3 linked regions of the Danio rerio genome follow. The protein of the gene in region 1 purifies or fractionates together with the protein of each later gene. This does not show direct contact. Links are inferred from orthologs where the notes say so. Each region holds a gene or a part of one and is shown on either strand. Other genes may lie near its edges. The genes, in order: vps33a, si:ch211-266g18.9 and vps41.

What was found.
Region 2: the proteins of vps33a (region 1) and si:ch211-266g18.9 purify together in Homo sapiens (co-immunoprecipitation; 5 studies listed by BioGRID and IntAct, with this or other methods). This does not show direct contact. The link is inferred for Danio rerio from reciprocal best matches to the Homo sapiens genes VPS33A and TGFBRAP1.
Region 3: the proteins of vps33a (region 1) and vps41 purify together in Homo sapiens (affinity purification with mass spectrometry; 5 studies listed by BioGRID and IntAct, counting the BioPlex papers as one, with this or other methods). This does not show direct contact. The link is inferred for Danio rerio from reciprocal best matches to the Homo sapiens genes VPS33A and VPS41.

Annotation. Positions count from the first base shown.
Region 1 is NC_133180.1:75,638,513-75,642,613, forward strand, and holds the start of vps33a (vacuolar protein sorting-associated protein 33A), read left to right. Parts: upstream 1-1,199; 5' UTR 1,200-1,225; coding exon 1,226-1,327; intron 1,328-1,561; coding exon 1,562-1,627; intron 1,628-3,615; coding exon 3,616-3,743; intron 3,744-4,101. Other genes in the region: aldh2.2 (aldehyde dehydrogenase 2 family member, tandem duplicate 2), read right to left, coding at 1-44.
Region 2 is NC_133192.1:16,843,541-16,847,201, reverse strand, and holds part of si:ch211-266g18.9 (transforming growth factor-beta receptor-associated protein 1), read left to right. Parts: intron 1-921; coding exon 922-1,062; intron 1,063-3,237; coding exon 3,238-3,397; intron 3,398-3,661. UniProt on the Homo sapiens protein: Plays a role in the TGF-beta/activin signaling pathway. It associates with inactive heteromeric TGF-beta and activin receptor complexes, mainly through the type II receptor, and is released upon activation of signaling.
Region 3 is NC_133199.1:10,269,712-10,273,372, forward strand, and holds part of vps41 (vacuolar protein sorting-associated protein 41 homolog), read right to left. Parts: intron 2,324-3,661; coding exon 2,231-2,323; intron 1,774-2,230; coding exon 1,646-1,773; exon of another isoform or gene 1,116-1,645; intron 286-1,115; exon of another isoform or gene 1-285. UniProt on the Homo sapiens protein: Plays a role in vesicle-mediated protein trafficking to lysosomal compartments including the endocytic membrane transport and autophagic pathways. Acts as a component of the HOPS endosomal tethering complex.

The sequences.
Region 1 (4,101 bases):
CGACAAACTTGAGGGAAAGCTCTGGATAAAACTGTGCGCAGCATTTTCCACTCACTCGTCTTCAGCACTTGAACTGACAATGATCCCTGATCCCCAGAGCAGAAATGCGCTCTTCCTAAACAGAGATGTTGCCAGATATTTGACAGAAATCACGCGTGTAGTCACATGTTTGCGCGACAATTTATTTTTTAAATCAACATTAGTAACCGGGGATACATAAAACACCATTTGTACAAATTTTATGTGACTTGAATACTAATACAGATTCATCATGGTACAGCATAGTAAGCAAATGGTAAATAAGATCAATACATAAAAGAATAACAAGTTAAAAAGAAAATACATTAAAATAATAAAACATACAAATATGAAAACATAAGTAAATTGTTGAAATATTATATAGGTGTACCAAAAAGTATCTACACCAATCAATGATTGTTGTATGTTCCCTTACAAACTACTGTCAATCTGATATCAAGTAAGCAACAATGAGTGGAAAAGGTGGATTTGGCAACAAACTCCGAAAAAGCCTATTTAGGTAAAATATCTTATGGTATATTCTTTAGACTTTGGTAAAAGTCATGATTAATTCAAATAATAATCCAAAATATTACAAACTGCTGCAGTTCAATCTGATATCAAGCAACAAATATTTGTGGAAAAGCTGGATTTGGCAACAAACATCGAAAAAGCCTAAATAGTTAAAATCCCTTAGGCTATATTCTAGAGTCTTTGGCAAAAATCAAGAATTAATCCAAGTAATAATACAAAATATTTCTTTAACTCAACTGATATCAACATATTTTAATTATCACACAAGACACAATCTCTTATATTACAACTTACTATAAGATTACACTAACTGGCTACGCGTTTATTATTGTTATGTTACTTTTTTACAATCTATGCAGGTTTACTACAAAACTACTTAATGGCTTTAAACAATCTAATGCATCTGATTTCAAGCAACTAATATACGTGGAAAGCGTGGATTTGGCAACAAACACTGAAAACGCCTACGTACACGTTGCTATTAATCCAAAATTATTTTGGCTAAACTGAATTTATACTAGATGAAGATATTTTTAAAAATATATATTAATATGTATTTTTGTGTAAGTAATAGATGAAACATAAATGTACATTTACGTGAGCTGATCTTTATTTTGAAAGAAGTATCACGTGAGGTTCTGGCCATAAGTCACATGACTGCGCTTTGGCGAATATGGCGTCACATTTGTTTTGTGGTAGAGTAAACCTAAATATTTTGAGAGAGGCTGCACGAAAAGACCTGCGCGAGTTTTTGGATAAATGTTCGGGAAGCAAGGTAAAGGTTTTCGTTTTAGTAAATGAGTTTATCCGGCTGTCACACTGTTAACTTAGTCAGAGTTTCCTCAAAATGTACTGCCTGTGTAAACACATAACCTGCGCTTGATGGTTGTGATGAAAGATTATTCCTGTAAACATTGTTTACTAATACTGTCAGTCGTGTAACATAGTATATGGAGCTCAATCGTCTTTTAATTAATGTGTTTTCCCTTTTATTATTTCTCCATTAAAGGCCATTGTTTGGGATGAGTATCTAACAGGACCTTTCGGGCTGATTGCTCAGTATTCACTTTTAAAGGTGAGAGATTGTATTCACAGATTGCATATGTTCATATCATATTCATTCAGCATGAAAATTGTATATTAAATATCAAATGTGTATTATTAATCTATATTATATCACTTGTATGTTAAAATACACGACACGCAGACAAATCAAATGGAAACAAATAATGAATAAAGGTTTGGAAAATGTATAAGGTCATAATGTAAACAACTATTGAAGTAATACTGGATTTACATTCGTACATTTAATAAAATAGTGAAGCAGAATTTATAAATGCAAATACAGATTTATAATGACATGCTGTTATTAGCACAAGGTGACGACTTGTGACATGGTGTCTAAATCTTGTTTACCACTCTACATTGAACACTGGGTCTAAATTTGCATGCAAGTATGATTTCCAAACAACATTAGCACTATTTAATTGACTGTGAACAATGTACTTTGATAGTCATTGGCTGCTAATTTGGTTTCCCTGTTTAGAAATGGCAAATAATTATTTTCCGAAAATATATTAAGAAGGTGAAAGTCTGAATGTGTGAATATAAAACCTACTTTACCCTAATAAAAGCTCAATTTATTAAATTTTAATTGTTTATTTTTATTTATTTGATTTGTTTATTTTAGTTTTATTTATTTATTTTTATTTATTCATATTGATTTGATTTGTTTATTTAATTGAATAAATTAATTAATTTATTTTTATTTTTATTTATTTGATTTGTATATTCATTTAATGTTATTTATTTACTTTTATTTATTTTATAAGTTTGTTTAATTTAATTAATTTATTTTTATTTGTTTATTTATTTAATTTTATTTATATTTATTAGATTTTTTTTATTCCATTTTATTTATTTACTTTTGTTTATTTATAGTTATTTGATTTATTTATTTAATTTAATTATTTATTGTTTATTTATTTATTTATATTTGATTTAATGATTTGATTTGTTTTTTTGGTTTTATTTACTTGGTTTTTATTTATATTTATTTGATTTCTTCATTTATTCATTTGTATTTATTTATATTTATTTGATTTGATTATTTAATTTTATTAAATTTATTTATTTATATGTATTTGATTTGTTTATTTTTTAAATTATAATTATTTATTTTGATTCATTCATATTTGATTTGATTATTTGATTTGTTTATTTGGTTTTATTTATTTATTTGATGTGATTTCTTCATTTATTTATTTGATTTGTTTATCTTTATTTATTTACATTGATTTGATTACTTTATTTATTTAATTTTGTGTCTATATATTTTGCTAATGTGATTTCCCTGTTCAGAAATTGCAAATAATTATTTTCTGAAATCACATCAAGAAGGTGAAAGTCTGAATGTTTGACTATAAAACCAACTTTACCCCAATAAAAGCAGTTTTCAAACCAATAACGCAGTTTCGTGACACTGAATAGGTCACATTTAGTGGAATCTTTGCAAAGATTTTCATAAATATAAATGATGTTAGCTGAACATTCACAGTGAATGCAATACAAATTTATCCAAGAGTTGCTATCAATGCAATGTAATGCTACCACAAAACAAAATATACTAACATGAGTGTCTGCAACCCATCAACTATGATTTTTTGAGTCACATTTGAAAGATATATATGCATGTTGTGTATTGTTTGATAAGCTAAGTTTAAAAATGCACTGATTAACATGGTTGAGGTTTTATATTTGCACATTGCTTTTGAGATAACTTGGACATGCTCCCTATATTGTGAAACTTGTGGGTCTGACAACATTAGCACTATTTAATTGACTGTGAACAATGTTGTACTTTGATAATCATTGGCTGCTAATGTGATTTCCCTATTTAGAATTTGCAAAGAATACTTTTCTGAAATTATATTGAGGAGAAAGTCTGAATCTGCGAATATAAAACCAACTTTACCTCAATTTCAACATGGTACCTGTGGGACTTGTTTTTGTTTACTCATTGACATACCCATACTCATTATTGTGCTATTTGTTTTCATAAAGGAACATGAAGTGGAGAAAATGTTCACTCTTAAAGGAGGCCGAATACCATCTGCCGCCGTCAAGAATATTGTCTTCTTTGTTCGCCCGAGGTTGGAGTTAATGGACATCATTGCAGAAAATGTTTCGAGGTAAATCTAAATTCGTTTAGTTACTAAACAGCTCGTCAGATTTTGGCAGAGAAATCAAGAACTTTAGAATTTATACGCTTGTGTCATTCAGGACTTTAGAACCATTATGATTAGTGATTAACAGTTGACTCTTAAGCAAAATACAGAATTAAAAAAAACAATATATCTGTAAAGATTTGCACTTACCTTGTTAACAAACCCAAGCAAGCTAGACGCCAACTAAGGCCTTGCGGTCACAACTTGGCTAAAATTAATTTATGATTAATTTATATTTATTTTATTTGTTTATTGTTATTTTTTTAAATAATGATATTTATTGGATTTTCACTATAATACAGACATAACAACAATTCTTCAA
Region 2 (3,661 bases), on another chromosome or scaffold:
GAAACACGCTAAGTGATCAATGCTAAAGTGAGTTATTCTCCTTTTAAAAATGTGCTTTCTGTGTCGTAATCTTGAAATTGAATACTTCCCTACTATATATTGTTGAAAAAATGTATGTGAGTATGGCTGCACAATATATCATTTGAGCATTGATATCGCAATGTGTCTGTCCGCAATAGTCACATCGCAATGACCAGGAACCACAGGTCAAAACACATGAGATTTGTGGAGACTCTACAGAATTTCAGCATAGTAGAGTGAAAGTTAATCAGTGCGTGTGTTTTAAGGCCTGTGACTGTATAAGAATTTTAAGAGAGAAAGAGAGTTAATCTCTTAAGAGTTTAAAACATTTTAATAGAGCAAAAAGAAGTTTAATAAAGACTTGTTTTATTGAACAGTTTATATGATGAAGACCATGCATTGTTCATCTACATTTGATTATTCAATTTCTGTAATTGAATATTGTAAGACTCTCCCCAGAAAACCATAAATCATTTTATTTCGCTTTATTATTTGCTCCATTGTGTTTATGACTGTATTCTGTTTATTATATGTATATAATAAATTACAAAAAACTAATTTCTCGCTTTCCTATAAAATCATCCCAATCAATCTAAAGTCTTTGCAAAAAGAGTTACCTGTAAGTCATCTGATGAACTGATGAAATTATATAGAAATATAATTATATATCTGGGCCCAATCGAGTAGTATGTCTAAATCCATACTGGAAAAACAACAGTGGGCATGATCGAGTACCTGGATGACCTACTACTGTACTTCCAGCGAGATCCTATATACTGCACCTTTAATATTCAATACATTTTTTTTTTTTTATGATTGCAAAGCTTATTTTTCAGCAGTCATTATATCCTTTTATCACTTCAGAAATTATTCTGATTTGCTGCTTCTCTCCATCAACAGGCTGGTATACTTATCTTCACAAAGACAAATGCAGGCAACCACAATACTTTTGTACCAGAAGAAGTTTTTACCATTCTCAACAGCTACCCAGTCGCTCTGACCCTGTACTTGGAATATTTAGTCAATGAATCACACAGCAAGGTGACTATAAAAGATAGAAATTACATTTACATTGATCTTTGGTCACACTTTATTTTGATAGTCCGTTGGTTAAATTTAAGTTACATTGCATCTACATGATAACTAATTTTCATTAGATTATAAGTAGACTGTTAGGTTGGGCTTAGGGTTAGTGTAAATTGACGTGTTTGCAAAGTTTCTTATAGTCAGTTAAATGTCTGTTAAAGGAGCATATCAACAGATATATAAGCAGACAGTCTACTAATACGTTCAAATGAACCATCAAAACAAAGTGTTACCTAATCTTTTGATATAAAAAAAAAAGTTTTATTCCATAATGTTCTATAGTTTTAATTCTTATAATACTGATTTTTATTTTAGTTTGTATTAGTTTATATTGTATTGTTATATATATATATATTTTTTTTCCTTTTTTTAGTAAATATTTACACTTTATATTTAGGTTTATTAACATTTTGTGTTAGTTTTAATCAATAATGACACTGACAAAAAAAGCATTCATAACCAATCAATTTATAGTACAAAATTAGCTTTTATTTAAAGTAACCTTTGTAGTTTATATTTCTAAAATTTTATTTGAGTTTACCACAACTTCATTACATTTAGTAGCCATATCAACATTTCCAGTTCTTAATTTTCATCTAAAGTCTGTTTTATTTTGAGCCTTTTTCAATTAACATGAACTACCAAGTTTAAATTAACAGTGACCACTGACCACTGAACAGATTTGATCAACTGAGACTCATTAGAAATTCGTGCTTCAGCCTACATTTTTGCAAAATGTTAAATATGTTGCTCCAGGTACGTCTCGCTGCACATTTTAGATGAAAAATCCACTAGAGGGCGCTGTTTACATTTGTTTTGCAAATCTGAAATGTGTTTCTTAGGGTATTGTTATGTTTCAGATACATGTCAAGTTGTTTTTCATTCATTCATTTTCTTTTTAGCTTTATTCATCAGCGGGATTGAACGGCCAACTTAATCAGCATATGTTTTACACAGCGGATACCCTTCCAGCCATAACCCAACACTGGGAAACACACATACACTCTTACATTCACACACATACACTGCAATTAAATTAGTTTTTATTCAATTCACCTATAGCGCATGTATTTGGACTGTGGGGGAAACCGGAGCACCCGGAGGAAACCCCCGCCAACATGGGGAGAACATGCAAACTCCACACAGAAATGCCAACTGACCCAGCCAGGGTTGAAACCAGCAATCTTTTTGTGTGAGGCGATCGTGCTACCCAATGAACCACCATGACGCCTGTTAAGTTGTTTTGTAATATTTAATTAGTTTTCTGCAAAGAACTGCATGAAAATACTACTTTAATCATTGATAATACGTCCCTGTAAATATCATTTGTGTAAAAAAGAACAAAAGATGTTGGCATACTGTTGTTAATTTTATCCAAGAAACTTTTACAAAATGCCTTTACAAAAATGTAGTCTGAAGCAAATATTTCCAATGACCCTGTGTTGGATTTGATACAATCATAACCAAAGGCTTTGTCCTCAGTCCAAAAAGAAGTTGATTGAAACTTTTGTGGTAATTCCATGGCATCTCACCACCACACGACTGTCCACATTTGCACATCACTACCATCAAAAACTTCACCCGGTCATTCACAGTGACTTAATAAGGGGAAACAGGATAAATGCTATTATTTCTAAGCCTCAGGGGACACATTACAGAATCTTAAGTCTTTAATTAAACCTAATTTAGCTTAAATTAAGTTTCAAACAGAAATCACCATAGTTGCCAAACAAATAAAACAAATGAAATGGGATGTTTCAGTCCCAGATAAGATTACGTAAGATTACATTATTACCCAGATAAAAACGTGGACAGTGTAAAGTTTTTCATTAAAAACTAAAACTGTATTACGTGACTTTTCTTGTTCAAAATAAAATAAATATAAGCAAGTATCTTATCTCGAATCACTATGGTAAACTAATGTAACAATTAATGAATCAATTTTTACACAGATATGACACAATAGCGACGACTACTGCCTCTTCATTTAAATCCAAATGTAAAAGAAAAACTACATTTCAATGCAAAAACAATATAAGTTAAAATGTACGCAATAAAAATATAATGTCAGCTTTAAGCCAGTTCACCATCACTTGTCATGGCATTGAATAACCACATGTGTTTTCACAGGAGGAAAAGCACCATACTATGCTTATCACATCATATGTCAAACGAATACTGCGGTCGCTTGCGGATGACCACAACAATGAATCAAGCACAGAGGAGATGAGACATAAACTACAGCAGTTACTGTGGCAGTCCTCCTTCTACAATGCTGATCAAATATATGGTGAGCAAACAAAAAAGATGCAGATAAAGCAGATAAAGACTTTTTAACAGGTTAATACATTTACATTGCTACAAGGAACATGCTAACAAGAGTGTTTCTACAGGTGGTTTGTCAAGCCCACTCACCTGTGTGAAGCACACTTCATAAATGCACAATGTTGTTGCTGTTGTTTTTTTAAATAAGGATTGCTTGTAAGAAAGTGTCTGGTGCAAATCTACAAAACTGGTGCAAGTGTGGGTTAGTGTCAGAGTGATGAAAGAGTGT
Region 3 (3,661 bases), on another chromosome or scaffold:
GAATTCTGCCTATACTAAACTATACTAAACAGTTCCACCAACAATACAATAACAATATACAGTGGCCCCTTGATTATCGCGGGAGTTATGTTCTAAAAATAACCCACGATAGCCGAAATCTGCGAAGTAGTCAGCTTTATTTTTTTTTACAATTATTATAGATGGAAACCCCTCACTACATACTTTATACTCTTTTCTCAGACAGGCATTAACATTTTCACACTTTTCTCTCTTGTTTAAACACTCTGAACGTTCAAACTCTCATAGAAAAATAAGTCCAGTAGCCTATTATTAAATAAATCCAGAGATGGGAAGCAACAAAGCACAAATACTTTGTTACTGTACTAAAGTACATTTTACTGGTATCAGTTCTTTACTCCACTATTTATTTTTTGACAACTTTTTACTTTTACTTCTTAAATTTTTACACAAATATCTGTACTTTCTACTTCTAACATTTTTAAATCGGGCTTGTTACTTTCGTTTTTATGTGTTTGATGGTGCAATCTATATTATTTCTTGTCAATTTGAATGTACGTTTGATGCAGTCAATCTATTTTCATCATTGCGCGCTTGCATGCTGTAGTGCGCTGCTTTCTCAACCAAGGCTATTACGCGCCTTATGGCTAGTTTATGAAGATTCCTATAAGAAAGGCAATGATGACTACGCAGATAAGACAGAGAGAAACGACAAATTTAACGTGATTGGTGCTGTCCTATTTGGTAATAAGACGCATTTTAGTAGGTAAAGAGAGACACATTGTTCTATACAAAAAGTTCTATATTATTGACAAGTAATTAAATAATTAAATAAACTCAAAAACTCATCTGAATTCTGCCTATACTAAACTATACTAAACAGTTCCACCAACAATACAATAACAATATACAGTGGCCCCTTGATTATCACGCGAGTTACATTCTAAAAATAACCCACGATAGCCGATATCTGCGAAGTAGTCAGCTTTATATTTTTTTACAATTATTATAGATGGAAACCCCTCACTACATACTTTATACTCTTTTCTCAGACAGGCATTAACATTTTAACACTCTTCTCTCTTGTTTAAACACTCTCAAACTTCAAACTTTTATAAAAAATTTAGTTCAGAAGCCTATTATCAAATAAATCCAGAGATGGGAAGCAACAAAGTCAATCAATCAATGCAGTCAATCTAGTTTTATCATTGCACGCCTGCATGCTGTAGTGCGCTGCTTTCTCAACCAAGGCTATTACGTGCCTTTTGGCTAGTTTATAAAGATTAATATTAGAAAGGTAAGGATGACTACGCAGGTAAGACAGAGGGAGACGACAAATTTAACATGACTGGTGCTGTCCTATTTGGTAATAAGACACATTTTAAAGGTAAACAAGAAAGACACATTCCAGTTAAAAAATATGCCATCCAAATGCTTAATGATTGAGTCTTTTGTTAACTTCTGATCATACTGAGAAGTCGAGTTATTATTTGTCGCTCTTACAACTGGAATCGATGACAAGACTTTTATCAAGTAGTGTAGTTCTATCTAGTGGAGCACTGTCCCAGTACCCATTGGTGATGAGCCTGCAAGTATTACCATGAGCTTTAACCTAAAAAATGATGTTACAAGCCTTTATAATGTGGAATTAACAACATTCACTCACAGCTCTGCGAGTGTGGTGAGGAGAATGCTGTTGGTGGGGTCCTTCTTCAGGTGTTCATTCACTGCCTGAACTATAGCCATGTTGTTATACAGCTCTCCAGGCCACTCACGAATGAGTGTGGCAAAACCCTGGGGGAGAGATCAATTAATTTCTTTACGTCTAAGAAAGAGGGAATTGTCTTGACTCTGATATTGATGTCATCCAATCATATTTTTAGGCCTTAGGTAATCGATTACCATGATGTTCATATAATAGAAAATATGGTAACACTTGAGAATATTGGACCATTAATTAATGATAGTTAATGTATTTATTAACATTAACTAAGCATGAATAATCTTGTAAAGCACTTAATAAAATATTAACTAATGCCTTATTAAAATCTAAGTTAATGCACTGTTAACAAACTAACATGAACTTGCATTATTTACCTTAAATAACATTAACAAACATGAATAAATACTATACCACATACAACATGCATTACTAAAAGTTTGTTTATGTTAGTAAATAAATTAACTAACATTACCTAACGAACCAATATTTTCAAGTGTTGACGAAAATATGCTTTGAAGAAAACCAAACCTCATAGTCAGTCTTGAGGAAGTCATGAAGGATCATCTCATAAATAGCAGGTCGAAGGCGCAAGTCTCCTCTCGGTAAGTACTGACTGATGGCCTGAGAGGAATAATGGAGCAAGTGGTTAGTTGACAAAATAGCAGTTGTTGATAGACACTTTTAAAAAGTATAATAGCACTACATTTACACAATTATAATAATAATAGTAAAAATCTATACTAAATAACAATACAACGATAATAATACTATTAATAATAATAATAATGACATCAAAGTATGACTATTATTCATATTTTCCACATTAATATTATTATTCACATCATTAATTCAATATATTTTTAAATTGACACTAAATTACTATGCACTCTAAAAATAACTCGAGAGGTCTGTTACCACTACATAGTTTAATACATTGTTGTAACTTAATTGCTGATTAGATTAAAACTTTTAAGTTGTCAGAGTAATACTAATAAGTTTTCACAACAGGCAAATATTGCTAATTACGTCAACAAATAATGCGGCTAATTTAATGGTAAATATGTCTGTCAGTTAGTTTGAAACAATATCTAACTAGAAGCAACCCAAAGAAATGGGGTTGATAATTCAATCTTTCTACAAAAATGGAGTTCTGGATTTCAAAGGTCCTTCCCCTCTAAACAAGTAAGAAGCAAGTCTGGACAAGTTTTAGGCAGACTGTTTGGCACATAGGACATTTTAAGGCGAGATATCTGAGATATCTCAGAGATAAATTTATTTAATTTCCAAATCAATTTTCCCCATTCCACTAGAGTGTTGGCTACTCCTGGTGAAGTTGATGTTAGCAGTGTTTTTGACTCAAAGTTTTTTTTTCTTGCTTTACAAGAATACACAAGAATTTGAGGAGGACCTAATGAGGATGCATTAAGGACCTTAGAGAGGAGGACCTTAATGAGGAGGCAAGTAATGGCAATTATTCATTATTGGTGATCGGTCTACTTTGGAATTAAACTACAAGACAGAAACCATCATAGTTGAGGGCATAAGAATCCTAAATGGAATGGATATCTCAAGGTGCTGTGGTCTGCTGATGGACAAAATATATAATCTGACTCTGAAGCACCTCAAGGAACTTAAATATACCTGTGAAGTTTCTCAAACTTAATGGACTGAAGCACAGTGCAAAAGTAATGTGTTTAAAGAACATAATTTCTTAAGTCTCTAACTATTTCAGAGTACATTTTGCTCTTTATGTTGCACTGTATGTTGTTTTGTATTTTTAAGTCCACATGCTGATGTTTTTTTGTTATTTTTTATACTGTTTATAAAAGGCAGAACACATTTTTGTTTTGTAAAATATTGAAAGACTGGTTTAAAACAAATAAAAAATTACTGGAAAACAAAAATGCTGTTGTTGAATGTGTTTGTTACAAGTAACTAAATGAACAGTAAATTTGAAAA